4 linked regions of the Drosophila melanogaster genome follow. The protein of the gene in region 3 interacts with the protein of the main gene of each other region in a pairwise test. Each region holds a gene or a part of one and is shown on either strand. Other genes may lie near its edges.

Region 1 (9,291 bases), on a different chromosome or scaffold from region 3:
AACGAAAATTTCTATACACTAAGCAGATCTATTCAAAATGTTATTGTTTTAAAAACAGAAATATACTTTATCAATCCCGGATTATTTATACCATACTATATTACTTTAAAATGTAACTAATAACTTCTATACCAGAACTATTGTAAATAACCTACATATATTGGCATGCCAAACTGAAAGGCTTAGTTAAATATTTCTTCATGGGGTGGATTTGGACGACTCTGTTCGTAGGGCTTCCCGCACACACGCTAATTTGTAAGTTTGTGTAATCTTGTAACCCTTTGGAAGTGTAATTGCTTATGTCAATAATCCTTTAATTGGCCATTTAACAATATGTCTCGGGAGGGTCTTGCACGGCGACTTGAATGCGCCGCTAAGTGTGTTAAGCGTTCAATTAATAGAATCCGCTTCTGGACTTTCTCCGCCGTAACTCTATTATTGTCGGATAATACCTCCATTTGTGGCATTGTGAGTTCATTTCTTCAATCGAATTAAATCTCATTGTTATGGCCAATTGCTGCTGGTGGCCGACTCAAGGCCCCAAAAAGCGGGGCTAATCGCCAGAAATACCCACAATGTGCACTGAGATTAGTACCGCATTTAGTTAATCACTTACTGTTTAAGGTGCACGGAAGCTGCACTGTATCGTTCTCATAGGTTTTCACTGTGGTTGGTATGCTCTTGAACTTTTGACTGTTTTCGAGATCGTTGTTAAAATCCAGCTCGGCTTGCACTTGGCCAAGGATTAGGGCCGCAAGCAAACACCTCACCACTGAGCACATATGGGGCGTCATTTTATTTTCGCTTAGTTTATATTAGCTATATTTCTTTAAATTAAATTACACTGTGATTTGGTAATTCTATAATTCACGGTCGCGTGTCGGAATTAGAACGGTCCGCTCTGGTCCGCGACAAAGTCAACTTTGAACTGATCGCTTGAGCTGAAGCCACAGTTGGCGTCCCCTGAGCCGCACACACTGCACCACCACACACACACGCACATGTACAGTGGAGCCCCGAGGGGCGGACAATGGAAGATGCCCGAGTCCGGGGCGACGATGAAGAAGCCGCTGACGCTGGACAGCACCCAGCACTTGTGTATAAGGCATGCCGATGCCGGTTGATTAGTCGCCGCCAAGGAGATTCTCCCACATGGGTACACAGAAAGAAAAAGCGGGAGCACTACTAGAAATCACTATACGATGCTGTAAGATATGGTTCAAGTTGAATTTCTATAACACATACTTTCCCTGCTCGAACTAACTTGTTAATGGATGATAGCAAGCTCTATAGGCGGGTTGAGTAGCTGGCTATATCGGAGATTTTACGTATTGATACCATTTTTCGCTGTGCATTGATGGGAGATGTGTGTGTGTAAGTGGCTTTGGGATGCACCCACACCGATGTCGCTGCAAGAACATTTGCATGGGCCACGCATCGGTAGTTTTCGGATTCAGAATCGAGATTCCGTCGCTGATCTATTACACTCTCCGCTTCAGAGAACGTGCTGCTGTTGCATATTCCGAGATAAAATGTCATTGTGCCACAATGGTGCCCCCATCCCAGTCGTCATCATTGTGATCGGATCAGTCACATTCACCATTTGGAAACAATATGTTCGGCACGGCGAGGTTCCCAAAAAGACAGAACGAAACAACTTGGAAAATATTCGAGCGGAAGTGCATTATATAGCGATCAATTCAAGTTTATTTCAAATTAGCATCCTATTTAGCATGTATTTCGATCGATTGCAGCGGAGTTAGCTCGAATATGCCTTTCAAATATTGACCGTTAAAGTCTCTTTATATATTTGCAGATCTTGAAAAACGTTTTTCCCTCTGACGAAACGCGATTGTGTTCAATTAAAAGACAATTTCATCGAATTAATTGAATTAATTTGGTGAGAACATGAAAGGAGTCAGCCAGCTGCGCAAACAGACTGCAAACCAATTAAGAGGAGCCAACTGTCCAACAGTCCAGAATGGTGACCATAAGTTTACTTTTCATTGGTGCTTATGTGGGAATAGGCGCCAAGTATACAAGATAACAAATCCTATACAGTATCCCAACACTAGATCAATAACATTATTTAAGTCTTTTTCTTTATTATAAATAATATTTATATATGTATATTTAAGTATATGAAAGCTGTTGCTACAACTGATGAATTTTGCCTTAATCTAATACAGCATTGAACGGTTACAACCAACGGATACATACTCGCTTGAATGAGTCTTATATAACCCTTTCAATAATCCTCTTCATATTTGTCCATGGAATATCCTTCAAATTTGCCATTTGCCTGAGTAAACGATTAAGTCTTCGCTGAAAACTAATTCCGTATTAATTATGTTAGTTGTTAATTTATGGAACAAATCGTTGGAAATGATTAGGCTGGATGGGGTTTTACTCTTTTCGTTATAACATTTTTAGCTTAAAACTTTAAAAATTTCACAATATATACTTAAATAAGTTCGTTATCTGCATAGGCATTCCAAATGTTCGAAATTACTGTTGATTCTTAAGTGTTGCTTGCATAATTTTTCTAAAAATTATATCATAATAGTGAAACAAAACAAACACAAACAGAGAAAGTATCCTCGATTGGGATATTCAATTCGCCCGACCTATCTAAAACTTTCTGTGTCAACCTTATTATATATATATATGAACTGTAACTATAAGCCGAGCTGATTGCCCGTCGTTTTTTTTGTTGCTCTTTAAGTTGGTTGAGTCGTTGAAGCAAACGATCGCTGTATTCATTTCATTTGGGCACTACACTAAACTAGGACGTAAACATGCGACGCTTTGTCAGTATATGTATGACCAGCGGCATCCTTTTCTAGATAAGACCGCGCTTTTTTTTGTAATCCTCTAGATTCAGCGAACGTTTGGAGACTGTTTCAGCTGGTTTGCTAGCCGGCTTGGGCACTGAATTCGTATTGACTAAAAAAGAAAATGGTTATGCCCATTGCTCAACTGCAGAATACGTTAGTTACATACCTGGTAGCGGAACATCTAGGTCAATGTCAAAGTCATGCAGTGAGTAGAGACTGTAGTCCTTGGAGTCCGTGGACCTGACGCTTGCACTCGAAGTTCCTGCTTCGTTGGGCCTCTTTTTTCCTGGGGGTGGCGGCGGCAGTGGTGCCAGTTGCATGTCATCTTCGTCCTTCTTGGCACCCTTGAAGCCCATGCGCGGCTGAGTAATGCGACGTGTGAAGGGATCCGAGATCTTGAGGCCTTTGTTGGCCCGAGCCTCCTCTAAAATTGCCTTCTCAGCGTCCTCCACATTCTTCTTCCTGTTCCTGTCGTTTATGTAGGAGATCAGATTGAGGGTATGGGATCTTCTTTTGTCGAGCTCAGAGGCTCGGTTCTCCAGCTCGTCGATTTGCTGTCCCAGATCCTGTGCAATGTCGTAGTCACCCCGCAACATGGCTGCATCTCGCTCCTTCATCAGGCAGGTTTTCTTCATCGCATAATTGGTGGGTCGGTTCCGGAAGCGGTTCTTCTCCTCCACGATCTTGTCCACGTCCTCGTCCTTGAATTCGTAGTTCAATGCTTTTTTGATGTCGTTCTGCTTGATCGCTATTAGATCAATCGTTGGCATCTGGACGTGCGACTGCTGGCAGACCTCGTTCCACTTGTTGAACTCGTTCTCCGTAAACTCCTGGTTCGAAATGAACTCGAGTCGGAAGACCCGCTCCTGGGTTCCGTGCTTAAGTCTCAATCCACGATTGGTTCGTGTAGTGCCCAGACTGTAGATCTTCCCCGTCTCAACCACTCCCACAATTTCGGCCACTCGATACACGGGTTTCTGGCCATTGTTTCCGATACTTATCCGGACAAAGCAGTTGAGTACAGTGCTCTCAAAGATTGGCAAGTTCACAAATCGCTCCATTTTGTAGCGAGATAGACGCAATTTGTTAAGATCCTCGCGTGTGGTTATAAAAACGGGCCGCTGAGGCGCCTTTTCTTCGTCCTCGGATTCGCTGGAGGCCTTGCTGCTGTTGGAACGTGAACGTTTGCCCGCGGGCTTTTCTTCCTCATCCCAATCGCTGCTGCCTGAGTCGTCAGAGTATATTTCAGAGGCTTTCAGTTTCACGGCCGATTTACAACCAGATACGCTATCGAGTTCCTCTTTGTCGTCATCACGATCTTTTTCTGCCATGCGTTTGGCTTCCTCCTCTTCTGCAAGGTGAATGGAAAAAACAACACATTAGAGTCGTATGACGATTATGATCGACTGATGCTTACCTCTTTTAGCCTTGCCCTCTCTTTTGGCTTTTAATAAGGCCATGGCATTGCTCCTCTTGTCGTCCGTCTTGTTGGCCTCCACGTTCTTCTTGCGCTCCTTGGAACGTTCCTTGTGATCAAAGTAATCAGAGACGCCAGCGGAGGAAGCTGCATCGTCGGGCATAATACTGGCCACTGCCGCTGAAGTGGAAGCCGCATCTCGGTTAAGGGCAGGCGTGGACAACGGACTCGCTGACCGTACTTCGTTGCTGGGCTTGGGTTCGACATCTAAAAGTGTGGATGTGGAAGCTTGAGTTGGCAAGGGCGCCTGGGCTTCCCTGGCTTTCCTCGCCTTCTTCTCGCGCTTTTCCTTCTTCTTCTTGGCCCGTTCTCCTTTGTTCTTGGACTTTTCTTGGTTTTTCTCGCCGCGCCTTGCCAGCTTCAGTTTCCGTTCGATTTCCCAGCGCGTTCGCATAATCTCGCGCTGCTCAATGCGCTTGTAAATTTCAGTTTCACGCTCCTTCTCGGACAAACCATTGAGACGCCTTCGATCCTCATCATCGCCCATGAGGTCATCATCGAACCCGTCGTCAAATTCCGAGTCGGAGCTGGAGGAAGAACTAGAGGAGTCGGAGCCGGATGAGGAGGAGTTGGACTTGGACTTGTCGGAATCGCTATCGGAGACCTCGCCCTCCTCCTGCTCGCTGAGCTGGGCGGGCTGGGAGGCCTGCTCCGGGGGCTTGTGCTCCTGTTGCGTCTGTGCAGGACTCTGCCTCGCTGGCTGCCTCTCATCCTGACTGTCGTCATCCCAATTGGACTCCGAGGAGCTGGAGTCTCTGCTGGGCTTCTGACGCTTCTTCTTCTTGGACGAGGGAGCTCCAGCTTTGTTGTTGGCCCAGTCGGAATCAGAGTCGGAGCGGGAACTTGACTTGGCCGCCGTTTGGGGCTTCTTTCGCTTCTTGGCGAGCGACATCAGGTCCTGGGGATTACATATAAGGTGTATTTTCAGTATTTATATTGATTTTCGTTACATCGCAATATGGAGAAAGGGGCGCGGATGATGCATTTGATCTATTCTATAGCCACTCACCGATTCCAGATTGGTCTCGGACTCGCTGTCGCTATCGCTGGAGTTGGAGTCGATCAGGGATTGCGTCCGCCGTTTGCCCATTTCCGATCGTTTCCTGGCCTTTACTTAATAATAAAATTTAACCAAATCAGAACGAAAAAATTTTAGTGCGTGCCGTTGGAGATGGCAACGAGTGTGATATGGCCTATCGGGATTTTGTCTGTCCTCGCTACGTGCTATCGATATGCTAGGGCTGGCAACAGTAATCGAGCTGTCAGCTGTAAGCGCGGGAAAACTATTTGATCCCAGGGAACACATTGAGTGGGAACAGTTTCAAAAGGGATTCAAGGGGAATCTCCGACTTTTATTTATATTTTTATAAATAAGCAACAAATCGTGTTTTCAAATTCACGTGTAGCTTAAGTGAATTTACCCAATTGGATTCAGTTTATTTTATGTAAGCAAGTTATTCTAACTTAATAGTAACAATAATAATAGCGAATATAAACAATTGTATATCTTTGTATCCTTGACAACTATCTTCGAACTCATTTTGCTTGTAAAATTGTTAAAAAAAAAAAAACAACTTAAAACGAATAGTAGTCCCTTTGATTGATTCATTTTAAAATATCAGACTCTCCTTTTTAAGTAATTTGGTACCCTTGTATGTCATGTGACACCCTTAAATAATCGCTTATTTTGAACTCGAGCCCAATTCCTTTTGGAGTTTTTTGAGCTCGGACAGGACGCGACAGGACCTACCACCCACCACTGCGGGGAAATACCTTGCGGCTGGTGCAGCACGTGCACATTTTGCCGCGCTGTCGAGCGCAACACTGAATCACACTTAAAGCAGAGTTGAAAAAATACGGCGAAGCTGTTCGAGCAAGGTAAACATAAGGGGTGGGGTGGGGACGTGGGTGGAGGTGCAGGGGAATGGAAATGCCGGCGGCGGCAGAATTGAAATGCAAATTTCGGCATCCCCATTATCCCTATCCCAGCCCCCTTCAATTTGCATGATGATACCGAATGGCTGGGCGGGAATGCTGACTTTGTGTACCCTGTAATAGGCAAACATTTGTCTGCACGCTGGTAAGTGGGTTATGTACTTGTTTGTGCCCCACGCAAAAACACATTTTGAAAACTAAATTAAAGCCACACCTGCTGCCCCCCTTCCCCACACATAAAATAGCTTACAATCAATATTAATTAAAATGCAGGCGTTTTCCAGGTCCCTCGAGCGCGCTTTCCCTAAGTTCATGCTGCCAGCGGGGGCGAAAGGGGTGGGTTTTTTTTTGGGGGGTGGAGGGTGGAACACGCACCCACATACGAACTTTCATAATTCGCCTTAAATGCTGCGTGGCAATTTGCAGTAGCAGCAGTTGTAGCAACAATAACAGCGCCACGAGGAAGCCCATTGCACATTCAACAAAGTGCACATTCTGCAGCAACAACGACTACGACGAGAGCAGCAGCAATGCGACAACTCATGAAAACAACCAACCCGATGCCACCGCCCAACCGAAAAACCATATTTCAAAACAGTGAGTTCTCAACGTGATGAACAAATAAATTATTTCTTCTGTTACTATAAATCTCTTTTTAAAATTGTGTGCTTCACTTTAAAGATGCCTTCAATAAGACCCTTCGAAACATAATAAACATTATGAACTACCCTTGCCCGTAAGTTTCTCAATTCCTGTAAACAATATATTTTCCCATTAATTTGTTGATCTGCGGATTCTGTAATACAAGACCATTTCGCAGCGACCCCTGTAGATGGATTTCGCATTAACCACCCAACCCCCGACGATCCACCCTCGAAATGCCGAGCTCGGAGCTTTGAAGCTCAGCTTTGGAGCATGCGCAGCAGAGCGAGAGAGTGAGGGCGGTAGAGAGAGAGAGAGAGAAAACAAGAGCGGCGAACGCCCAAGGGGGTTGTCCCTGCCCCCCCGCTTTGTTTTTGCCATTTTTGGGTTGAAAGCTCTTGTCCGGCGGCGCTGTTGCGTTGGCGTTGCGTTTTTGTTGCGCCGGCTGTTTTGCCAAAAGTGGTAAGAAAGAGTGAGAGGGAGCGGAAAAAAACCATTCTCTCGAGAGAGCGAGAGCGGCCATTAAAGCTCGGCTCATCTAGCTGTTAAAACTAGCAAAGTTCGCTGGTGAATTTGAGTGCTTTTTTTTCTTTTTCGCCAGTTCAACGAAAGAAGCTCGCGAGTGCGGAGCAAATAACGGTAAACGCCAGCTCCAATAACGGTCCATCGCAGCATAGTGTAGTGTAGTAGTGTAGTGCTTTGGCGACCGTGTAGCGTAGTGTTTTCAAGTGGAGTGCAGACGGGGGTGGTTGCAAACAAAAAGCCCATAAAATACTAAACGCAAATAGGCAAAGAAAGAAAAAATATTTAACACAAGTGCGTCGGTTCAGTGTTTTGTGGTGCGAAAATCTCACGAAAAAAGAAAACAAGAGGAAAAATCCAATAAAAACATGGCCCGCTGAGCGTTGAGCCTCACATAACGGAAAAGGTGAGGATGGGGTGGATACACTGAAACTTCAGCTTGGACTTAACTTAAAATCTAAATTTAATCTATGTATATGCATATCAATATATTGTTATAAATGTACAAATACATCATTATAATTTTAGTATTATTATTCATATATAAAGTTACGTTCACTGATCGAATATATAAGTTTCTAAGCTTATATTGTTTTATTTAATTAAATAGTTTTGAAATCCGAATATTAAATTTACTTTACTTTTTTCCGAGTGTGTTTCGGGTTTATGCTGCTTGAATAAACTCTTTCTTCCCAAGACCACATTTTTTGTTGTTAAAACAAATCTCACAGAGCAGCAAGTGACAGAGTTTTAGTTTTCCGCACTTTTTCAATATTTTTTGTGGCCAAGCCGCGGGCGTGGCTTTCCCCCTATATTTTCATTTATTTTTTTTTTTAGAAGGATGCGGCATTTTGTTTTCATTTTTTGTTGGCCCTTTGTGCTACCCGTCTTTTTCTGGGCCCGCCTGGCTGTCTCTTTCTGGCTGTTAATTTGTCGTGCATTTGCAGCTGGAGAAACAACGTCAACAGCTAACTGGGGAATTACAAAATCCCGCTCGTCCGAAAAAAAAAAACGAGAATAAACTAAAAAGAAAAACAAGCGCGGAAAGTTGCTCGCTAAATAAAGGATTTTCCACCCAGCTGGAAAGTGTTCAGCGGGTGAGTTTGGGCCAAATGAATATTAATTGGCCTGGTTCGGTGGTGCTGACTGAAATGAATGGCTGCCAACTATCTCGGTCAGCAGAGAATACAAATTAGGAAATTACTCCAAATAATTTGCACAATTAGTGGTTGAGTTTTGGCGAGTAATTTGATTTGGAAGCTGTGAATTTTAATTTTGAAAATCGGACCAAGCTACAAAGTTGGAAGTCCATACTCCTCCATCCATACGCACTTCACATAAAGTTGGCTTGCATACTCCGCTTAAGTCGAACATGATTAGTTCTTCCCTCGGAAACCATTTTGATTTAACACATAAGCTCCATTTTAACATATCTTAAGCTCACGTTTTAGTTTACCCCCATTGCTCTATTTTGTGCAACTATTTTAGGCTATTGTCTTAACAAATTAGATAAATTTGGGCTGGAAAAGACCGTTGGCAAAGCCTTCATCTGGACGTGTGGGCTCCTCTAGACTCCTTTAATTTTGAAATCTAGTCAGTGTTGCCCTTTCCAATTTCCGAGAGCCACTCCTCAAAGATTTCGATTATACGTCCTCGTTCTGGGCCATAAAGAACCCGTTCAAAAGGTTAGGCACACACGCAGGCAAAACAAAACCTAAGGGTTTGGGGTGAATAAACAATGCCTGTGGAGTGACCGCTGGACAAAGGCTGCTCCTGTTGGCCACTTGGGCTCGGGCCGGGAATAGGACTCCATTTCTCAGCCTGCTGTGCCCTGCGCACATTTCCAATGCAAATTTAGCCGGCAGAAAACTCAAATCA
Region 2 (8,539 bases), on a different chromosome or scaffold from region 3:
AAAAGGACTCGACAGTGTTTGTGTGTGTGTAATCGTTAGTTCGACACTGTGTGCGAGTTTGCGAGAGTGTGTGTGTGTGTATACACGGGGAGACAATGGAATATGCTAATTGGTGCGTTGCCTTCGCGCCGCGACGCGCCTGCTCCAAAATGCAGCGGGCAACGCGAGCTACGAATAAGCAACAAGAACAAGCCATTCGTCGGCCGAACTTTCCCGAGTCCGCAAATTTATAACTTGTTTACCTGTCTCGGGCCACTTGGCGCTGCAGCGCAGAACATCCCCCAACTTGAGATACTATGCGATACTGTTGTGGGCATGGATGTGGATCCATGCCAATGCCAAGCACGCCTGTTGCGCCTTCCTGTCCTTCCCAACCTTTCAGCCTTGCTGCCTTGCTGCTTTCCTTCTTCTAGATCTGAAATGTTGCCAAAGGCAACAGCAGGTGCAGCAGAATCAGCCGCAGCAGCACCAGCAGCAGCAGCGTCTTTTGGGCCAGCTCTCAAGTCTTTTTTGGCCTGGCCAAAAGTCGAAGGCAGGCAGAAAACAGAAACCTGAGCGAGCAACAATATGCTCCGCCTCCATCTCTCCAGAAAGTGAGGCATGCAAAAGAGCTCGCCCCATGGTGCAATTTTAAAATGAAAAACACGTTTTGCGCATGACTGACACATGATTTCTTTCCCTGCATATATATGTACGGATATATCTGTATATATACATATATATCTATATATATATATATATGTGTGTGGCATTCAAATATACTGGCAGCACAAGTTGGTGTGCGTGCCCTCGCAGAGCGAACTTCTCAAAGGAAGAGAAACTTTCGAGAACTAAGAGAGTCCAGATGACCAAACTGGAGGAGTCTTTCGTTTGGCCATCCATCGCAATGCTGTTTACAAAACGCACATCGCTCCTTGGCTGGCTTTGAAGCCACTTGGAATGGAGTTTACACGTTGCCAGCTATTAATTTGAGGCTCCTGAATCACTGGACTTATCTCCTTCGGTTGCTTGTTTAAGCAGACTTGAGCTTATGATTTGGAATAAGCAGTTGGCAAGGACCAAAAGGGATAAGGTGCATCGTTTTGCCAAATATTTAATCTGGTTGGTATTGTTATAGGATATGCTAGGATGCTTTCTATTATTTGTTTTGTATGCAAAGAAAACTTAAATGAGAAAAGTGGTACTAGATTCCAGTATTTGAATTAAAGCTATTTAGTTAACTCTAAAGCGTATGCAAATCAAATGTATTTATCTACAAAGTAGGTAATCTAAGTCTATTATTATTATTATATAATTAATGTGCTACGTTGGTAATCACTGCTAATAGTTATGCGTTTGTCACCTGGTTGAGTATGCGGTTTAATGCATACCAATCTAGTTTAAGCCTCCATTTCTCGCTCCCCCTCACTTGACACCCAAACCACAAAAATAGACACTCCGGGCTGTTCATAACCAATAGAGCAGCAAATAACTGTGTCGACGGTGGTGCATGTGATTCTGCCCCTACTACCGACAACCTAAACAGCAAACAGCAAACACCTAACACCATACACCATACACCTAACTCCATTCAACTAACACCACCCACAGATCCGGAGCTGCGGAGATCCAGAGAAGCAGCGACCTGAGAACAACCTGCACCCAAACACATATCGAATAAAACTTTTACCGCTGTATAAAAATTACAAGGTCTTTGGCCATTCAGCAGCGGAGTCGAATGGGAAATGGGAAATGGCAAATGGGAATGGGTGGGTCTGAGATGGGGTAGAAGGAAAAGAATTTTTACTTTCGCTTTCTGCAGTGGGTCCGTCCTTGTCCTAGCCGGCTCGCCATTAAACTTTTCACGAACCGAACTGGGACAGTGAGAAGTGTGTAAAAAATCTAGTAACAACAGAAAAAGATGAAAGAAATAAATATAAAAGAATTACACCAAGTTTGTCAGTGTGTGTGTGAGTGAGTGTGTGTGGAAGGGGCCCGTCTGTGTCTGATGTTGCTGCTGTGCACACATGCACACTCACACACCCGAACACTTACACACACCTAGTCAGGACAGGACATATGTATGCCGGAATGGCCATACCCGTCAGTATGTCTGTAATGGCCAACCGTCTGGCCATTTCATCGTACACGTGAGTGTGTATGTGTGTGTGTGTGTGGGCTAAGAGCTTCTGATTTTCCTATATACAATTATAATTTTATTGTATTTACTATTTTTTTCGTTTCTTTGGCTTCGTATTGAACTCACTCACAGACACAGAGGGGCAATGCATGTGGCAATGTGGCAAGGACACCAAGGAGGGTCAAATGGGATGGGTCGGGATGAGCGAGGCGGGGGGAGGGGCAAGCGAAGGGGGGCAGGAGAGTCTGGCAAATGGAGGTCAACGACTGAAACTAGTACTAATATGTGCAAGCGTTTGATAGCTCCATTCGTTTGTGCTAATGCAGAAAGAAATAAAACACAAAAACGAGGCAACACATAAAAATAAGAATTCCGTAGATAAAAGAAAAAGTTGCTTTGGTCCAAACCCAATCGTGTGTTAGTGTGTGTGTGTCTGGGATGTCTGGGATGCTTCCCTCACCGCAGTTAAGTGTGTGCAAATAAACCATGTGTCTGCTGTAATGTTGGACCTGTTGGCACCAATGATCTATGTGGCTTTAAGCACTATTGCACCTTTTTTATTGTGTGTTTTCGTTTATGATTAGCCCGATTAATGTTGTGTCGGCATTTCGCAGTGGAACGAATTTATTAATTGTCGGGGGATTCAATATGAACTTTATCAAATTATCTAACTATGGTCTCATGTATGGGCAATACTATTTTAAACAATGAATCGATTTTCAGAATTACAGTTATATAATAAATAAATAAAAATATGTAAATCCTTTGATAATTTTCCTAGTGTTGAAATATCAGTGATGTTATGAATGATGTTGTTTTACAACACTGAAATGCTAATGATGTACGAGAAAAATATAATTATAAATAAAATAAAAAATAAGAAAGATAATAATAAGCAACTTTATTAAATACTTTCTAATTTATAAAACAAGATGAGAATAGTGACACAGAAGCGTTCAACAACTAAACGGATAGGAAAATAACTTTTTACCATAAATACAATCAAAAAGTATTGCATACATTAAGGGGCCAATAAAACCGGTTTCCTGTGTTTGTTAATATTGCAATTCAATATAAACTTGGTAGATAAAGGAAATCTAACTAAAACTCTTTAGTTATATAAAATTTACATTTTTTCAAGCTTATTTTACAAACCAAGTATCATATGGACAAAGTAATATTTGAATCTAAACTCGGAGGTAAAAAAATTAAATAAAAAATTAAAAATATTAATTTTTGATGGAAAGCAAATTTAAGTAATTGCTAACGCAGTGTTAGGAGGTAAATAATAAAATTACATAAGATATTAATGTTATACACAATATCTATCACTCCTGAATATTATTATAAATAAATATGAATAAATACTTTCTCGTAAAATATTTCCTGCTCTTTTGTATAAAAAAGTTGTTAAGTTGTTATTTGAAGGACCTACTAAGATTTGTACTTATTAATTTATAAAATGTGGCAACTATTCAAATACACAAAGAACTGCACTTATATTGTTTTCCAAATTGTGTAAAAATAATTCGTTTTTGTTATGTAGAAAGGTAAACAATAAATCTTCAAAACTAATCTCTCGAAAAACTTTTTATGTTTGGTTTCCGATTTAAATAAATATTTTTTGATTATTTAATATTTTTTCTTGTGTCACCAATTCTTCAAGTTGTGTTTAAAACACTCAGTTAACTGTTATTAATTAATGCAGAACTAACAATTACACTTTACGGATTGCTCAATTCACCGGTGAAATCAAATACTAACCTTTTAGTTATCTTCCGGGGGCGAAAATGGATCGGTGCCTTCTTCCAGCGAAGGCGGGAGAAATTCGGTGATAGCGCAACTATTTGCAGCAGTTAAATTATTCTTATCTCGACCGGCGATGTTTTTAAATCACTTTACTTATAGTTCACATGGATTTGAATTTATTGTTTTCAGTTAATGTTGTTGTTCATTTGAAAGTATAACATCACTCGGTCAATCACAATCGAACACTGTGCTCGCGATGCGGCGTGATGTTTACCGCTGCTGTGGCGTGCGAATTTTAGCGGCAGGACATGCGGTGCGGTGCGGTGCGACCTCTCTCTCGCGCTCGTCGAAGGATATTGTGATATTGTGACGCTGCGTCGCTGTGACGTGGATGTGCGAACCTGAGCGGCTAGCGTGCGGCGACAAACTACCGCGGCGGACTTGAGTGAATTTTGATTTTAGCGCGGCGAATTTCCGCACGGCGACGACGGCGGCGACGTCACGGGAAATTTAAAGTCGCACGTCCACGAAATGCGGCGTTTCGTTCTCACTCACATACACAAGCACACTCGCAGATATATGCGTCCTGCAGTGGTGGTTGTGTGCTGGTCAGTTGGTCTGCCTTGGTATTAGTAGTTTTGTAGTTGTCGTTTTTGTTTCTTTCACGTGTGCGTGAGTCGCTCTCTCTCGCTCCCTCTCTCGGACTCTCTTTCGCCCGCTCTCTTTCGCTCTCACTGTTGCGAAATTCGCGGCCTTTTTCGGTGACAGCCAAATGTACAATGATTAATAACGGTCAAGACGGCGGCGAAGAAGTCCTCTCGCTTTGGCTGCCCCGTTCGCAATATTCGCATTTTGGCATTTTCGCATTTTGGCCGGCCCAACCACAGGCCAGTGTCCACTCACACACACACATATCGAGCACACATACTAACACAGCACATCCTCCCACACACACACACACACACGTGCGGACACACAGCTGTGTGCAACGAAGACGACGCAATACTCGTGCTAGGCTTTTTGAGATTGAGAGACGCACATCCTTTTCGGCCTCCTTTCTTGCGCCCACGTGTGTGTGTGAGCACAGAGAGAAAAATCTTGATACCTTAGTAAAGATAATGTTATTAAATTTGGTAAGAATTCGAAATTTAGTATAATAATTTAGCAATTTTGTATCTCTTAGTTATGTACATATATTCCATGATTATAACTATGAAAATGAAATTTCATACAAATAAACGAATAGATGATACGATCGCTTGTGATGAAAAGTATATATTACTTTTCTGCCAAGCTTATATTTCCTTGTATTCTGTATTAGTTTTAGGTAAAATCTAGATTTTTTCCAGTGTAAGACTGTGTGCAACCTCAGGAGGCATTTGCTTGCGTTTAGCTAAGCCATTTTCTGCTTCCTTAAACGCTGGGCAACAACTATCAAACGAGCAACGGATCTGCGAGAAGAACGTGAAAAACCTAGCCGAAATCCCTGTCTAATTTTCGCAGTAGGGGGTGCGCCTTTTATCGTCACTGATAATTCTGCTAGTTTTCCCGCTGTCATGTGCTGCAGTTGTTGCTGTTGTGATTGCGGCCAGTTTTCCTCGCTTTGTTTTGATACATGCCTTCATCGCAGATTACGTGGGCTCGCCTCTCTTTCGCGACCGTTTCGCAAAGAGCTGAGGCAAATGAGAACCGAACATCCTCTTCCTTAAGAGAGAGAGAGAGAGAGAGGGAGAGAGCCAGTGAGAGAGCAGCTTTCGTCCTCGTCTTCGGCTTTTTGCCGCCCGAACCGAACGAAGTTATGACGGCAGGAGGTGGTGACCCCACGGGGAAACCCCCCTTGGGAAACCCACATTCTTGAAAACAAGGCGAATCCGTCCAACAGAGTGGCTTTCTTGGCTCTTTTCGTCGCTCTTTTCGCTGGAGCGTGACCGGCGATCGCCGAAGGAACCGGAATTCTCGAACGGACACTCGATCGCAAAGATATGGGCATGACATAGTGGTTGTTTCTCCATCGACTTTTGCAGGCAAATTGCTGCGGTTTAGAAATGTCAGATGGCGAAATAATCGAATTCAAATTGTGGGACAAGAAACTAATCAGCTGCAAATTTCAGGTGATAGCCAGCTTCAAAATATGTATTTCCCATATTTAGCTACCAAGAATAATATAATTGTAGTGTATATAGGTAGGCAGGACAATAACTTATGTTTTCCATTAAAGTGCCGACATATTCATACATATTCATATACTTAGTGCACAACATATTCAATGCTTGGTATACACCAATGTTTAACATGGTTACGCATTAAGATGTTTAGGTTCCTTGTAATATTAATTACCGAGCTGATAAGCTCTAGGTAGGAATAAAAAACCATGTTAAATAGATTGTTGATATCATTCCCAAGCAAGTTTCAAGTCAAAGTGTATTTTGATTAGTTCTGCGAGAGAAGAAAAACCTGACAAGTATTTGCACCATCGTGGGATAGCCCCGAGATTACGATCTTATATAATGCGTGTGTACACATAGGCATTTTGAGGTCGTAGACTTAGTAGTTGCTATGCAAAACATTTGCGCAGAGCACACACACAATCGCACATACATAGCTCCCTATTTCCCTATTGTATCTGGCCAACGAAGGCGGCCACTGACCATAATAACAACAACGGCAACGAAAAAGACAGCAGCAGTGTCGCCAGAGTTGCTAGTTGCTGCCTTTCGGGAAATCGCTAAGAAAGGTTTTTGAATCCATGTCCGAAACGCACAATCACACGTACACGCACAGCCACACGCACACGAAAACACAGGCCCAAGGATATAGTGTAGTCGTACATATAAGTAGAGGCGTATACACAACAAGGAGCAACAATAACGCAGGACTACGGAATACGGACAGCGGACAACGGACGACGGACGACGGACTACGGACGACCACGAGTATAGATGGCCGGCATGGGGCCGCATTGGCAAGAAACATATCCTTGCCACTAAAAAGCCAAGCAGCCTGCCCGGGTCGCTTCATTTCGTCACACACACACACCCGCAGCCTCACTCACTGGACACACACTGAAGCAGTTTGGCAACACGCTACCCACACAGACGCACATTCTTCTTAGCATCCGCAGGCACATCAGCATCTTTAGCGTAAATTTTGCTGCTGCGAAAATTTAGAGTTGTTGCTTTATGCCAATGTGCGTGCTAGAGTGTGTGTGCTGGTGTGTGTTTTTGGGTATATATACTTCAGATTTTCATCGGCCAACCTAAAAACCCCCCGCCCCTTAGACAGCGGAGCCCAACCCGACCGATTGTCCATTGTCCATTGTGTCCACCAAGGCAACATTTTCCATTTTCGTTCGTCCTCTCTTTGGCCGCCGGACTTTCTCTCATATCTGCAGCTCCTTGCCAGCCGCCTTCGTCCTAGCCACCAAGCCACCAAAACCGCCCAACCGCCCACCACACCACCCCTTCAGTTGGTCAAAACCCCCCTTTTCGGATGTGTATGTGTGTCCATTTGTGAGTGTGTGTGTGTGTGCTGGATGCCTTAATGTCGCTGCGTGTGTGTGTACAATTACGAATTCGTCGTCCTCGACTAAACTCAATTCACTTTCTCCCTAACTCTGGCAAGCCCGCGTCGTTGTCACCGTCGTCCTGCGATGTCCTTTCACCCAACCCGACTCACCTCCCAGAATCCCCCATCCATCCCTGAATCAACCCAACCCCTCATGTCACACCTCCGGATGGCGAAGGAAATTTTCGCGTGAATTGAAAGATGAAGGCGCACTGGGCTGGACGTTGGTCACCCCCGATGGTTGGTTATATGTACACGCATAGGTCCTTGCTGATTTCCGTTCGAACGTGTGGCTATGTGTGTGTGTGTCGGTGTGTGTACATATGCTAGAAGACGTGTGCGCTTGATTTTCAGCACCCATCTACCAACACCCACCCGCCCTGGGAATCTGCATCCTCTCACATTGTCTTTGTATAACTGTTCCTAAAACAAAATTTTCAGTTTTGCCTTCGAAAAGATAAATGTGTGTACACGAGTTTTCTATGTATGCTTTTTCGTGCTTGTGTGCGTTTCTCCCGGCTACATGTACTCGTACACTGGGATCTACTCAAAATATATCCCTAGATGCGTACTTGTTTGCACCTTGCCTTAAACTCGATTTGTCCCTGCCCATTTCAATCAACTCATCGATCATTTATTTCTATTTCGATCACCATCAATTGGGTTTGGGAATTCAATTCGATACCAGTTTGGATCAGAACTGACATTGATGGTTACGAAAGATTAACAAAAATATGAACCACCTGGAATAGAAATTTATCGAGTTTTCAAAAATATCAACGAGAAATATAATTTCTCAGAATTTTAAGTGAAAGTTGATATAAAATTTAGTTGATAGATAATGAAGTCGATAAATAATACTTGAAGCCAATATATATATATTGTGTGCGAAACTATTTTATAGCAGTAGAAGATGCGGTTCCTTTTCACATACACCTGATTTCATGTACTGCAGATATATTTGCGATGGTCAAGTCGAGCCGAGCATCGTCGCCTGGAGACAGTCTAATCCGTTGTCCGCAATTGTGCTGACCTGGGCGGTCCTGCAAGATGCCCATGCTGGCAGTTCTTTCCTACCTAACCCGGAGCGAAACACCCTGCCTCCTT
Region 3 (6,383 bases):
TCCCCGGATCGAAACGAATGACAAAAATGTGGGGGCCCAAGCCACCGATGTTGATCGATTCGATCAGCATAAAAAAAGCTTTAATTAGAACCAATTTAGAGCGTGGACCAATTTATCAGAAGCATTTTGAAAAGTAGTTGAAAACCAGTCGAGAGCAACTTCAGCATTTCCGACGGCGGGTGTTAGGGAGGTGTTGCCGCACATTTCATTATATTGTAGCTCAACATTAGCCGACATATTATTGTTATGGCTTATAAGCCCAACTGAAGTGAACTGAAACAGCAAACTGAAATTGCCATTTACGCATTTGTTTTTCTTTGTCAATTGTTCCACTATTTAAGAGGTGTGGACCAGGTTCAAGTGCACATTCATAACTATTATATATTTGTAACAATATGGAGTAGTGACTGCAAGAGTTAAGTGATGGGTTAATGAACGTGCCGAAGGGAAATATATTGTTTCGCAGATAAAAGAAATGTTTGAAATAGTTTTGAACAATTTAGGGTGTCATTCGGGTTTATCGAAATAAATATTTGTAAATAATAGTAAATATTCGAAATAAAAAGAAGGGCAATGAAACCTTGAAATTTCAAGATTGTCATGTTTTAAAAATTTGTTGTAATTAAAACTCTACTTCCAAGCTGTGCAATCCATAGTTCAAAGAAAAATGCTGAAGTGACAGCATTCGTGCCAGGCACCATGCTGAAGTATTTATTCAGCGAAAACTACCAACTATTGGAGCTGCCCTCTTGTTTTTTATTTTTGCTAACACTTTCAGCTTTACATACAATTGGGAAACCAGTTAATTAATTTGGTTCGATTCTTGGCATCAAGATGGAATTCAAGACAGCCGCCAAAAAAAGTTTTCTTTATATAACAATTCATTAATTACCTTTCGATTTCTGGTTTTTACCTTGGGCGGAGTCATGAACCCGACACCTAATGCCATTAGCCCAGCCGTTGCGGATCTGGGATTACAATATTCGAGTGTTTGGATCGTTCAAGGAAATAGTTTTATTGCCAGCATAGCTGATGCAACTACAAGTTGTTTCCCCAATTCTAGTATCTATCGTATTTTGCCTTTGTGGGCACCCCAGGAGCTTGGCCGTTTGTTGAGTGGTTCAGGTTCTGATTATTGCTGTGATTTGCTCCACTATTACTACTTCCTGCCGGCGAGGAAAGGGTATAGACCTCATAGTCGGTGATGGTAAAGTTATAGTCCCCGAAAAGTGTCAGGTGAGCAGCGTTGGTTCCGTCGTAGGAATGCGGAAGATTCGAGTATGAGTCCATGTTTGTATTACAGTTGCTGGAAATGAGCAGATCGGCTCCAGCACCAAAAATGGGACCGCAACTAAAGGGGAAAGCAGACATGGTAATCAGTACGAATTCCTAAACATAATGTAATATATAAGATTATTTTAGACATCACTTACTCAGGATGATAGCAAATGGCATATGGTTTCTTTACAATATCAAACTTGACCGGCTGTTCCCCATTGGCTGGATTCAAGGCAAAGAGGAAGGCTCGCTCGGACTGAACATATCCCCCCTTTCGGCTTGTTTTGGCCCACGCCACATCCGTATAACCACCACTGATCTCTCCATGCGATCCCAAGCCAATAACCATGCAAGGAGCCACGCCGTCGCAATAACGATGAAAGGCTCCAGAATCGTAGCCATGAGTGGACGCTCGGAAAACTAATCTCCAGGATTGCTTGCCCACTCCAACCCAATTATTGAGAACAGTCTGTAGTGCCAGATTGTCATTCTTCAGGATTTGGGATCCGGGAAACATGTTGACCGCTACAGCTAGGCGGGGCTGAAGTCTCTTATCGTTATCCATCATCTTATTGGCATGCAAAGCGGCATAGCGATATCGTTCTAGGGATAGTTCCATAGGTACAGCTCCTGTAGGTTCCACTTCCTCCGCGAAAACTTGGCTATCGATGAGAAGCAGACGCACGTGACCCATTACACCGCTTAAGTGTTGGCAGACACGAGCACGCTCCTCCTCAGTCCAATGTGCAGTGGGTTGGGTGACTCCTGCCTGGTATTTGGCCCAGGATAAAACGCAGCGCCACACTTCCTCCTCTTCCAAGCAGAACTATTGGTAGTTAACAGTTTTGGTAATTAAAGAAATTCAGTAAATTGAGTGGTTATTCATTATAAACTCTTACATAGTCTGAGGAAATAATCTTAATAATGGCATCCTTTGTTAAAGTAAGGAAGGCATTAGTCTTAACGCACTCATTTGCATTTTCCCCTATGTAGATGATGCAGCGTTCCATAAACGAGGCAGCGCATTTGGCACCTGAAATTTAAAGGGAAAGTTTAAAATTAATTCCTTGTTTTTTAAAGACACTCAACGGCTTTTACCTTGAGACAGCATCCTATTCTATATGTCCTGAAATCGGATCGTATTTGCTACCTTACCCATTAGAAACACTTGATTACAGAAAGTCTACCATTTATTTCAACATTCGTCTTCAGATATCGGCTTTACATTTATTTTACTTATATTAAGGGCGTTCAGCGTTTGCAGGTGGAATTCGAAGGATTCGCAGGATGGCCGCTGAGTCGCCTAGTCCTTCGTGGGACTGACGTTCTGTATGAGCGTGATGTTGTCGCCCTTGAGCATGATCCTCCCGAGGTTGCGGCGCTGCCGGGTCTTCACATAGACTTCCTCGGCGTCGTCCAGCACCAGATTCATGTACTCATCGAATCCCACAATGTGGCCCTCGATGCGCAGCGATATGTTCTCGTATAACCAAACTTGCACGCGGGACCGGTTCTGCAGGTAACGGAAGATCAGGTTGATGGGCTGCACCATCACCTTCTGCACCTTGGGATTTCCTTTGAACGACATTTTTGCTGATTTCCGACGACTTAATTTGAGTTAAACAAATTTTCGCTTCTTTTTGCCGGCGTCTTCTTTTCGTCCAGGCGATAGGCAGAAATATCGATGGCACAGCACAGATGGTCACACATAATCGCGGCCTACCGAACTATCGACCAGCCTAAAGATACCAAAATGGTAAATCCTCTGGTAGCATAACCATATCGATAGAAACACTATCACAATCGCACTGTTAAGTTTTTGTGGTTGGGCAGAAGTTGTTGCCATTTATTCATAGCTGAATTAAACTATAGTTTATAAAGAAAACCAAACAAATGGCTATGGCTAATGTGGACAAAGGTGAACTTATGGACCAGGTTAAGCAACAGATTGCTGTTGCGAATGCCCAGGAATTGCTCACGCAAATGACCGAAAAGTGCTTCAAAAAATGTGTCAATAAGCCGGGAACTTCCCTCGATTCGTCCGAACAGGCAAGCTATACATATCTTATTTTGCACTATAGAATATGTATTTAAATAGTATTTCATTAATATCCAATTTAGAAATGCATTTCCATGTGCATGGACCGGTTTATGGACTCGTGGAACCTCATTTCTCGGGTGTACGGCCAAAGAATACAACGTGAACAATCCAAGTTCTAAACACACGAATCGGCTTCTGCATTTTGGAGCAGCTTGGGACTAACTATATCTGCCAGCTATTGATTAGTTGTTATATCTAAAGTTTGATAATGCAATAAAAACATGCATTGCGTGTTACGTGATTCTGATAACACAACGTGCATATGTTTTTTCTTATCGATATGTGATGTGGTACAAAAAATACCAAAACTTTCAGAATGGTTAGTCTCAATACATTTGACATAGCATATTATGTAGAATGTATAAAGTGTTTTGGCGCGAATATGCAACTTCACATAATTGCTTACTTTTAAAGGTGTGATTTTCTAAAAGAGCTACTCAATATTACTAACCTGCTTTTTCGTGTATATCCATAACGGCGGTTAAAAATGTGCAGGCATTATCCACCGACAATGTCGATATAACGTGATCCTCGCAGGCAGTTCGTAGCTCAACCACACCGATATCCTGTGCCAATATCATCATTTGAAATACTTGCGAGTCCTGGAGAACCAACTGAAAAATGAATTTTGGTTATAATTTTATTATGTTAGATGTTACTAATAAGTAGTTTTCTTACCTTTGCGGTGTAAACGTACAAGATGAACTGCCTGAATAGTTCCGGATTCACGTGTGGTAATCGTATGGTGGTCGGAGTTGAAGCTCCTGGGGCTGCTGGCGATACTGTGCATCCGGGAATTCGACACACTTCACCTCTCTTCGCAGTCTTGAAGCTCTTGCACCTGAAATCGAATTGAGTGAATGGAAAGGCAAGACAAATTAATTAAGTGACCAACTGGAATACCCGGGATTCCAGCACGCAACATTGTAAGATTCCGAAAAAGGCAACCGTAGGCAATTATCTTATTCCACAGAGAAAAATTATACAGTTATTGGCATTTATAAGATTTTAAGGTATCACCAAAATTTATTAATCTCTTAAGTATTTGTTTGAAAAAACAATTTAACTTACCGAGCCATTAGCATTAATCTATGGGCATATATGCGCTCATCTCTGCCACAAATGAATACCACATCTGCACTATCCTGATCCTCGGAAAGGCGCTGCAGATCCTCGATCAACTGGGGCAGACTCATGATTGATTTTTATTATTAAGTGCGGTATTCTTGGGCTCAAAAAATTGCAATCATTCGTGCAGAAGTGCACGTGTTGCCTTGTCCCTCTGCAAGCACTGGGTTTTGTTATTATTTTGCGATTGGGTTTGTTTATGTTTTCAACTTGGAAACTCTCTTTATTTCTCTCTTTTAATCGCTGGATTCGTGGGAGCGCAGAAACCGGTTCCTGGCTGAAAATTCTTGGCCGACACCAAGCCACAATCGATTTGGCAAACAATATGGCCTGGGAAACAATTGCAACAAGATTAAATGGTATAACTTTTCTACAAATATTATTGTAATAGTAATATTGTGCACTATTTATTTTACACAGCTGCAAACTAAGCGTTTTTTCAAACAATTTCGACCTTTCCTCCGCGAAATCTGATTTTCTTTGACCGCTGGTCGTTCTTCTCGCGATCACGATTTGCTAAAGACTGAAGAAGAGACTTGGGACAGGTTGCTCTTTTGGATCTTTCTCAGTGTTTCTCCCAAGCAGGTAAACGGGATTAGTTTTTGTTTTGCTTTTCTCCATTCCGCTCTCTCTCAGTGTTATCTTTTTTGAGAGACTTTTTATAGCGAATGCTATAGAAATTTTCATTTATGAATGAAACTAATTAAGGACGAGACGAATTTTTCTTTATTGTATTCGCAAAAATTCACTTTGCGCAATAGATAAAATGGTGTAGAGTTTCTCGACTATTAGATACCCGTTACATTCTATATGGTTATACGGTCAATGGGATTGCTCTTCTTCAAAGGATCAACGACTCGGCCACGGAAATATATGTTGTCATCATCGCGAATCATGAAGACAAAGGGACTATTGACTGTAAAAGTAACCACACTAGTCGCATAATCTGAAAAATACCACAGGCAATCAAGCAGGAACATGATACAAATGTGCCATAATTTACCAGATAATCCTCGAATGGGGCTCGCAGAAGCGGATCCTGCGGACCCGCCTTCTTCGTCAATCTCTATAAAGGCTTTGTGTACGACTTGGCTGATTCTAGTGCCAGACTGGTTCAGTAGGACGCTGATATCCGACGAACTATTGAAGAGATCCTGTATTCCCATCTGCAAATTTAGAAACATGTAGTATATTAAATAAGGTGAGCAGAATCTACTAACGCTTTTAAGAGTTTCGACGAGCTCCATGCGGAAATCGATTTTAAATTTAGGAAGCTGCACATGTACATCCATTTCAGTGAGAACTATCTGAGGGTAACTTTCGATTGTGGCTTCTGCCTGAGTTAGGGACCCATTGTCCTTGGGCAGAACGATTACCATTGAAAGGTTTGAGTATGCAAATGGAAGCTCAATAATTTGGTCTATGGTCGAAGTACGCATCTTAAATCGACCCACTTGCGACATCATATTGACATTTACTTGGTAACTTTTGGATACATAGAATACCTTGGGCTTGGTGTTCATCTTATCGAATCGCGTCTTCCAGTAGCCCTTGAAGAAAGCTGCGTTGATCATGACCGCACTTTCATCGGGCGTCAAGTCACTGGGTATTATAATGTCTTTCACATTATCTAGTGTCTGGTCGAGCACCCAATCGTTTATAGCCCAGGCTGCCTTCAATCGATCGGCCAGCTTAATGGCTTCTGCCTCGGCCCTAAAGTGCTTATTGACTAGTTTATTGTAGCGCTTGTTAACACCAATTGTTTCGTTGACAAACAAGCGATTCGCCAAGTGGAGAATGGCTACCTTCTTGCCCCTTTCGAGTTTAGTCAAAAGCTTATCATATATAGTAGCTACATTCTTTTTATCCTCTGGCA
Region 4 (7,466 bases), on a different chromosome or scaffold from region 3:
CCTTTTAAGGGGAATTTCCCTTTTTTGCTCCGCCAAATAGCCGGCAGCTTCATTAGAGACGCCTCGGTCCACGCTGCGTATGCGTAATAATTTATTTAAAATGCAATTCGTTTATGCCAGACATTAATCATTCCGGCGAATGCGATAAGACATCGAGTAAGTCACGTTCCGAGGTCGGCTGCATTTATTAACAATTTGCGTCATAAATAAAATTGAAAAACATTCATAATGTCAATGGCGGCGAACGCAGTGAACGAGTGAAAAGTGAGTGAAAGACGTGAGAGCATGAACTAATGGCAATTTCATAAATTACACCCAGTTGTGGATGGTTAAGGGAGGAAAAAGGCGGTGTGGATGAGCGGCTGGTTTACATAAATTAGACAACAAATTTCCCAGGAAAATGGGAACAACGCGCTGGCAAAAGGTAAATCACAAGGCGGCCCCAAAAATGACAACATTAAAAGCAGCCAGGTGGGGTAACGTACTCTTAAATGAACACCGTAAGAAAATCCAGTATGCAGACTAAATCATTTCAACTGAACTTATCTATTGATGTATAACTTTCTCTTTACTTTTTTTCCAGTGATAAATTTGCGAAAACACTTTTACTTAGAGCCTTAATTCCCTGCCCATTTTTTCGTGGTATCAGGCCGAGTTGTTTAACATATTTGTGTTTTGCTCTGGCTGTTACGCCTTTTCCTGGCCGAATTCGAGTGAATAATGTTCGCTTAGCACGGCAAATAATTATTTCTCGCTTACTGCCAACTGGCATGCTATTTGGCAAAGGCTTTAAGGATAGCTTTTGGTCCTTTTCGACCGCCCATCGCCACCCACTTGGCAAGCCCCCCGCTTTTGGTCTCCACTTCATTATGTGAATTTTGAAATTGTTTTTTCTTTTCTTTTTGCCTCCTCACTGTTGTTTCATTGTGTTTTTTTGCTGCGGGGCACAAAAACACCAAATATATAAAAAGAGACTGAAAAAGAAATGCCAACACGTTGGCTTGGCTGAGCAACCCCTCAAAAAGGTGTTGAGTTGAGCTAAATTACAAAAAATTGCTGCTGTTGTTTGTGTGCATTTTTCTTTAATGATTTGAATATGCAAAGCGCGCCAAACGAAGCGAATGAAAAGAATTTTAATTAGTTTTGGGAATGTTTTTCGGTGCAATTAAAGCCAAATGCCAGCCAATGCAATAAACAAAACAATTATTATTCTCGGATATTTGGCATTCGAAATTCTCCATACTTTGGCTTATGAAGGCAAAAATGATTGGTATGCCTGGTGCACAATGGTTGGTTAAATGCTAAACTGTTTTCAAAAATAAAAACAGCAACAAAATATGCATGGCGCAGCGAATCGATTTGAGAAATCCGCATCGAATTGGCAAATAGCTTAGAATTTTTCCTCTACAAAATGCCGGAGAAAAACAAACCAGGCCAAGATGGCAATAAGGAACAGAAAATGTCCGTTCACAAGGATTCCTCTACCTTGCTTTAAAAGGACAAGAGAAGAGAAACTATTTTATATACGTATACGAACAACGGAATAATTCGACTACCTTTCGTTCGATGTCTGGCCAATGTCCCATGACGTCCTCCTCCCCTCGAAAGCAATAAATGTTCAAATCAATTGAAACGTTTTGCCAAAGCCTCACACCCAGTGTGAATCCACCCCTGATATAAATCGAAGGAGCTGGGAATGGATTCCTGGACAGCTTAAGGCGGCGATTTGGTTAGCCTCGGAACAACAGAAAATCGATAAGGGATGCCAAGGAATGTCAACTTGTTTTGAACTAGTCAGTCAGGAAGGCGGGCGGGCAGGCTCAAGGAAACCAGATTCTGTCCCACATTTGAGAGCAGAGCCGGAATTGGATAGTAGTCTATACTACACTATATATACGTATTTCTGGTCCACAATTCGACAGAAGTCGACGGCAATAAAACGCCATTTGGTCATAAAAATAGTCGAACGTTGCTGGGTCAAAGTGAATGCGACAACTGCCCCAAGGGGAGGCAGTGGAGTTTGGCAAATGCCCCGAGGAGCAGGGGTTCCTGGATCCTGTCTGCCATGGCAAATTACGAATTTTGCATATTGCCTTTCTTCGTTGGCCTTCTCTCTGATGGCTGTTCCCTTGCCCCTTTGGCCCATTAGTCATTTTGGTGCCGGGTGAGTTTGGCCAGAGACTACGACTATGGCTTGGTGTGTCGCCACTTTGCAGGATGAATGACCCCGGCATAGTTGCTGCCTCTATTCCGCCAGCCAATCCACTCCGCATCACCCCGCCTCGGAAAACCTCGGCTGGCGGAAATTGCGCACACGTCACAGGGCGGCAATTTTCATATAACCGTCGGCCATTTGCCTACTCCTTTCCTCAAAAATGGAGAAATATCGAATGCATATTCCCATTTTTTAAAGGTGAGAATGAATTTGGTTCATTTCATAAAATATTTATTTTAATCGGCCCCATGCACAAACGCAATTGTGGAACATTTACCCATTTGGTTTAGTTACGTATTTTTACGACTGATTTATTTTTGCTGATTTAACGCTTTCAAAATGATTCCTGTCGTTAATTAAATATTTGTTTTAAACACTTCAATGCCCATCGTGTTTAACCCTTGAGCCTTTCTGCATCGCATAAATTCACGTTTAACTGATTTTCGCAACCAAATGCATCAAAAATTCATGCGTGTGCAATTAATGACATTACTGGAGCTCTTGGCCAGTACGAGGTATTTTTTATTCAATAAATTATAGTCATTATCATTATTAAACAGCATGAGGGGCTCTCTTCAAAATGCCGAGCATTACCGTAATGCGTGCTCTACTTAATTTTTAATCACAATGAACGCCATGAAATTGTCATAAAAACTAAAATTTCATTTTATTAAATGTGTGGAAACAAACATTCGGAAGATTGTAATTTTTAGACAACTGCATTGGGAAAATCACTTTAAAAGTTTGTGCATTTTCGGATCAAAGATAGATTTTTTTGGTTCTTTAATGTGTAGTTTTCGCCTTTAAGTTGGTATTTTTTCAATTAACTGCCACTCCCACACCATTTCCGCCCATACCCACACACATTTATCCACATGTAGGTCAAAAATGGCAGAGCACAAGCAAAAGCGTTGCATACCTTCGGGCTGTCAATTTATTTTTCGCGCTTCGCATGTTCTTGGGCCATGTTTTTCCGATTCTCCCGCGCCTGTTTTTGCGTCCTTGAAATTTATGCCTTCGACGCAGGCAAAGCGCCAAGTGTTGAGAACATCGGAGATAGGCACAAGTGCCACATGGCATGTAATGCGCTCATTATGCTGCTGTACCTACACGAATATATATATATATGTATATGTATCTACATATAGATGGATGCCACATGCAAAGGATGCCTACCGCCTTTCGCCCTTGGAACTGGGCCAATGTGAACGGCATTGTCTTTTGGGTCGCCTCCGCCGGAGAGATAATAACAACAAATTATTACACTTGCCGAGGGACCGTTATAGTGGAGCAATGGGATGGGGAGCAGAGGTCTTTACTGGGGTAACTAAATTAAGCATATCGTTGATAACCTAACGCAGATCGGACGGCATGCGATAAGGCATAGTCCTTTATCCTGGCTGGCTCTTTGCCAGCTCGTGCTGTGGGTTGAAACTGGGTGGGTGGCCTTCATCTCTGCACTGTGAAAAATATTTGGAGATTCTGTTTGCAATTCAAACAGAATAAATATAACATGCAATCATTTCAGTTGAGAGCTAATGTAACCTTAATATTTATTTATAACTATAACTATCACAGTTATACAAAAAGTTCCCGTGATCAAGAAAGTTTCCGAAAACGATTCAGTTAAGAAGGTTCTGCCCTATTTGTTAAAAAAAAGAAACACAATTTTATCGTAGACCAAACACATAGCAAAATTTTAAATACACAATACAAAATTTTCCATACAAATACAATGCAGAAGCGTAAACGCCGCTTCCTAAAAAAAGGGCAGAACTTGATGATGCTGCGGACGCTTCGATTGGAAAAAGCCAAAAAGGCTGAGCTCCAGAAAGAGCTGACTATTTACAATGCTTTAACCAAATGTAAATTAACCTCCTCGGAAGTTGTTCCCGACGTCAATAAGTTACTTAAGAGCAATACGATAGGAAACCTGGTGGAGTCCCTTGGCCACGGAAATAAGAACAAAATTCGAGCCGACGCCGCAGATGCTTTAGCTCATATAGCCAGTGGCTCATCGGAGCACTCAAATTTAGTGGGTTTTATATTATTTTCTAGGCTATTGCTATTATTCCTATTATATTGTAATTAAACTCTTGCAGATTGCGAAGGCTGGCGCCGTGCCACGATTGATTCGCCTTCTTCAGTCACCCGATCCTGAAGTCTGCGAAAAGGGTATATTGAGTTTGGGGAATCTCTTGCACTTTGCTCCGAACCTCCGTGACTATATCATAAGACACGGACTTATGCAAAAGCTGATGTCTATTATTCAGGATAAAAGCACTTGCACTTTAATGTTGAGTCATGTAACCTGGGTTCTAAGAAAACTGTGCATAAGCTCTCAACCATCGCCACCTGATAATGCAGCTGAGATCATTCAGGCATTGAACATAGTATTGTACAACCCAGAGGCCAACGTTTTAGAGGACGCACTTATGGCAGTGCGTAATTTGGCCCATGGAAATGAAACGATTCAAATGTTACTTGATTTTGAAGTTGTACCCAGGATCATATACTTGCTGGAGCATCCGAACGTTACGGTTCAGAACGCCGCACTGCAAGCCCTAATAAATATAGCAACTGGATCCGAAGAGCAGATTCAAGAGTTGCTTAACAATAACCTTTTGCCCCATTTATCGGCTCTGATGTCCAATAGTGATCCAGATATTCGCTGTCAAGTTCTTAAGCTTTTGCTAAACATCGCTGACGGAAATATATTCCAAAGGCACGCCATTATGAATGCAGGTCTCCTGCATAAAATACTGGAGTGCTTAAAAGCTGATGCGATTTCATTAAAATCTGCAGCTGCCTTGACAATCACCACGTTGGCCATCGATAAGGACAAGAATCTCCTGTGCTATCTTATGAGACAGGGAGTAATTCCAGAGTTCTGCAATTTACTCTTCTGCCAGGAAAGAGACATCTTATCTAATGTGCTCGATATACTGAGCACTATGCTAGATGTGGATCCATCTTTCTCGGCAGAGGTGTCCGGCATCATCGAATGGAGTGGAGCTTTAAATAATATCAGGATGCTCCAAAGCAGCGAACATGAGGAAATCGCAGCTGTGGCACGTAAAATCATTGGTAACTACTTTCCCGCCAAACCACACATCGCAACTAAATTCTAATGTGCTTTTATATGAAGTAACATTAATCATACCTTTGTACTTTTCCATCCAAATTCCAGAACTTTTTCTATATAAAGCGATTTTATATTGAGTGAATATAAAATGATTTGAAGAACACTCTCTCTTAGTACGGCCATGGCCTTGAAAAGAGATGCTTAAATACTGGCCGCAAAAGAATCGTTTTTATATGTATGTGTCTGTATTTTTGTGTAGGTCCTGCATCAATTGAACTTCCGCATGAAAAACAAGTTTCGTGCGAAAGCCAGATTATTGCAATCATAAATTTTTATGATTTTCCCATTGGTTGCAGCTCGAGGCAAGAGTGTGGAAAGTGTGGGCGGTAAAAGCGTTCCGTGTTGCGTGGGCAGCGTGGGAAAAGTGCTGGCATACCGCACCGAATTTTATGTGTATTTAATAGCCTTGCAGATATGATGCAGAAAGTTATTATACCCAGCACGGCCGAGTCCTCCCATTCCCCAAGCAATGCTGTAGGAAACCGATAAAGAAGGGGAAAATAAGCTATATATACTTATACATTTTCCCATATCAGCGGCCTGAGTTTGTGTTTTTTCGACGGCCATTAAAATGAAATTTAATATAAACTTAGCGCCAAATGACGAGGGCCGTAAAAAGCATATTGACATTGCCACAAGATCAAGCCATCCCATCCATCAATCAATCAATCAGGCCTGACACCAGCTGTGGCAGCCGCAAAAATGTATCCACAGGACTCTGGTGGCAGGTAGAGGATGATGCAAAAAATGTAATCTAATCCAATTACTCAACACTGGCAAACAAGGGGGAGGGGGGCAAGTATTCCCGACCGGGCGCTAATGGACGAGTCCCCAAACATGTCGCATATCACATGTCTACAGGAAAGTTAAATAACCGAGGGCAATCGCAAAGTATCAATAGCCAAGAAGAAAGAGTGCGGATATGGCCAAAGCCACAGGGCCATTTACATCATCAACCCCAACTAACCAAACGAATGCGTTTGATTATTAACCAACAAAAAGCCGGGTGGTGGTAAGAGTGCAAATCCTGGCCCAAAACGAAGGAAAAGAAATTGAAATTCATGCGCATTCGGAGGGTTCTTCCTATGCCTTTGTTAAGGCCACGGGGCTTACAAGATGGAATATCTTGTTGGGTTGGGCTTGTGGTCCCCATTGCCTTCTATTGACGAAATTATCATTTCTGTTGCTTCAATAAAACGACAGGCCCGAAACTAATATGGTTTCATCTTTACCCCCCCAAAAGAAGCAGACTTAGGCATGAAATTGAAAATGTAACAAAGGGAAAAGTGAGAGAAAAATGAGAAGGGAGGAATATGTTAGGCTGATTGGATGGTGAAACCTCCGATGATGATGATGAGGTGACATTGGGAGGAAAATCGCATAGTCTGCAAATGAATTTAAGCAATACTTTTATGCCAGCCTACCGATTTATCGTGGATTTCATTTCACTTTGCACAAGCAAACACCTTCAACTTTCACTCTTGGCAATCGAATGGCAATTATGCCCGCCCATAGTTCAAATATTTGCCAGTATTTCACCATCGGAAACCGGTGCCTGATGCTGACACCGAGTCCGATGCCCAAACCCCGAACCGATTATGCAAATTTGTCCGGGTTAACGATTTCATTAAATGCCAGAACCGGCCACGCCTTATCACCCAACTGCCCCTGCGGTCTGGCCAACTAATTTCAATATCATCCACTGCCTCCAGGAGCTTGCATTAATTCTCACATTTAGCCCACAAGCCGCAGGAGGCGTGTCCTTGCTGATAAACAGGCACATCGGAGCTTCCGTTTAGTCTGCCAACTCTGGACTCATAACAAATCCCCCGGCCTCGTCCTGCAGCACACAGGATGTCCTGGATAGAAGGTAAACCGGGCGGACACATGGTCGCAAAACTGAGCGACAACCAAGCATCCAAGGGGTCAATTTGGAGCGTATCAAAAAGGGACAACAGTTTTATAAACTAGAGTTTTGCAAGCTTAGTCCAAGGAAATCCCAAAGGGCGGGGTAGGCGACTAAGGAACTCTGTCTGGCCAGCATATTTATAAACACATTAAAAACGCTTCACTGGAAAGCCCTGGCCAGGATATGGGAACTTGATG

The links.
Region 1: the proteins of SmE (region 3) and Rtf1 interact in a two-hybrid assay, tested with the Drosophila melanogaster proteins (one large-scale study listed by BioGRID).
Region 2: the proteins of SmE (region 3) and dan interact in a two-hybrid assay, tested with the Drosophila melanogaster proteins (one large-scale study listed by BioGRID).
Region 4: the proteins of SmE (region 3) and alphaKap4 interact in a two-hybrid assay, tested with the Drosophila melanogaster proteins (one large-scale study listed by BioGRID).

What each region holds. Positions count from the first base shown.
Region 1 is NT_033778.4:22,371,305-22,380,595, reverse strand, and holds Rtf1 (Rtf1), read right to left. Parts: upstream 5,507-9,291; 5' UTR 5,405-5,506; coding exon 5,324-5,404; intron 5,213-5,323; coding exon 4,255-5,212; intron 4,189-4,254; coding exon 3,004-4,188; intron 2,947-3,003; coding exon 2,843-2,946; 3' UTR 2,112-2,842; downstream 1-2,111. Other genes in the region: wrapper, read right to left, coding at 617-794. UniProt on the Drosophila melanogaster protein: Plays a role in transcription-coupled histone modification. Required for methylation of 'Lys-4' of histone H3. Plays a role in regulation of transcription. Required for maximal induction of heat-shock genes. Plays a role in Notch signaling in the wing margins.
Region 2 is NT_033777.3:25,180,774-25,189,312, reverse strand, and holds the start of dan (distal antenna), read right to left. Parts: upstream 4,931-8,539; 5' UTR 3,884-4,930; intron 1-3,883. UniProt on the Drosophila melanogaster protein: Probable transcription factor with a role in the retinal determination (RD) network. Regulates ato expression and is required for normal R8 induction and differentiation.
Region 3 is NT_033779.5:7,882,478-7,888,860, forward strand, and holds SmE (small ribonucleoprotein particle protein SmE), read right to left. Parts: upstream 2,974-6,383; 5' UTR 2,867-2,973; coding exon 2,582-2,866; 3' UTR 2,453-2,581; downstream 1-2,452. Other genes in the region: CG7102 (uncharacterized protein), read right to left, coding at 1,060-1,351, 1,434-2,104, 2,178-2,311, 3,831-3,993, 4,058-4,220, 4,451-4,575; CG34132 (uncharacterized protein), read left to right, coding at 3,172-3,327, 3,400-3,498; Spn28Da (serpin 28Da), read right to left, coding at 5,314-5,453, 5,511-5,673, 5,728-6,383. UniProt on the Drosophila melanogaster protein: Plays a role in pre-mRNA splicing as a core component of the spliceosomal U1, U2, U4 and U5 small nuclear ribonucleoproteins (snRNPs), the building blocks of the spliceosome.
Region 4 is NT_037436.4:6,007,436-6,014,901, reverse strand, and holds alphaKap4 (alpha Karyopherin-4), read left to right. Parts: upstream 1-3,880; 5' UTR 3,881-3,950; coding exon 3,951-4,250; intron 4,251-4,317; coding exon 4,318-5,346; 3' UTR 5,347-5,456; downstream 5,457-7,466.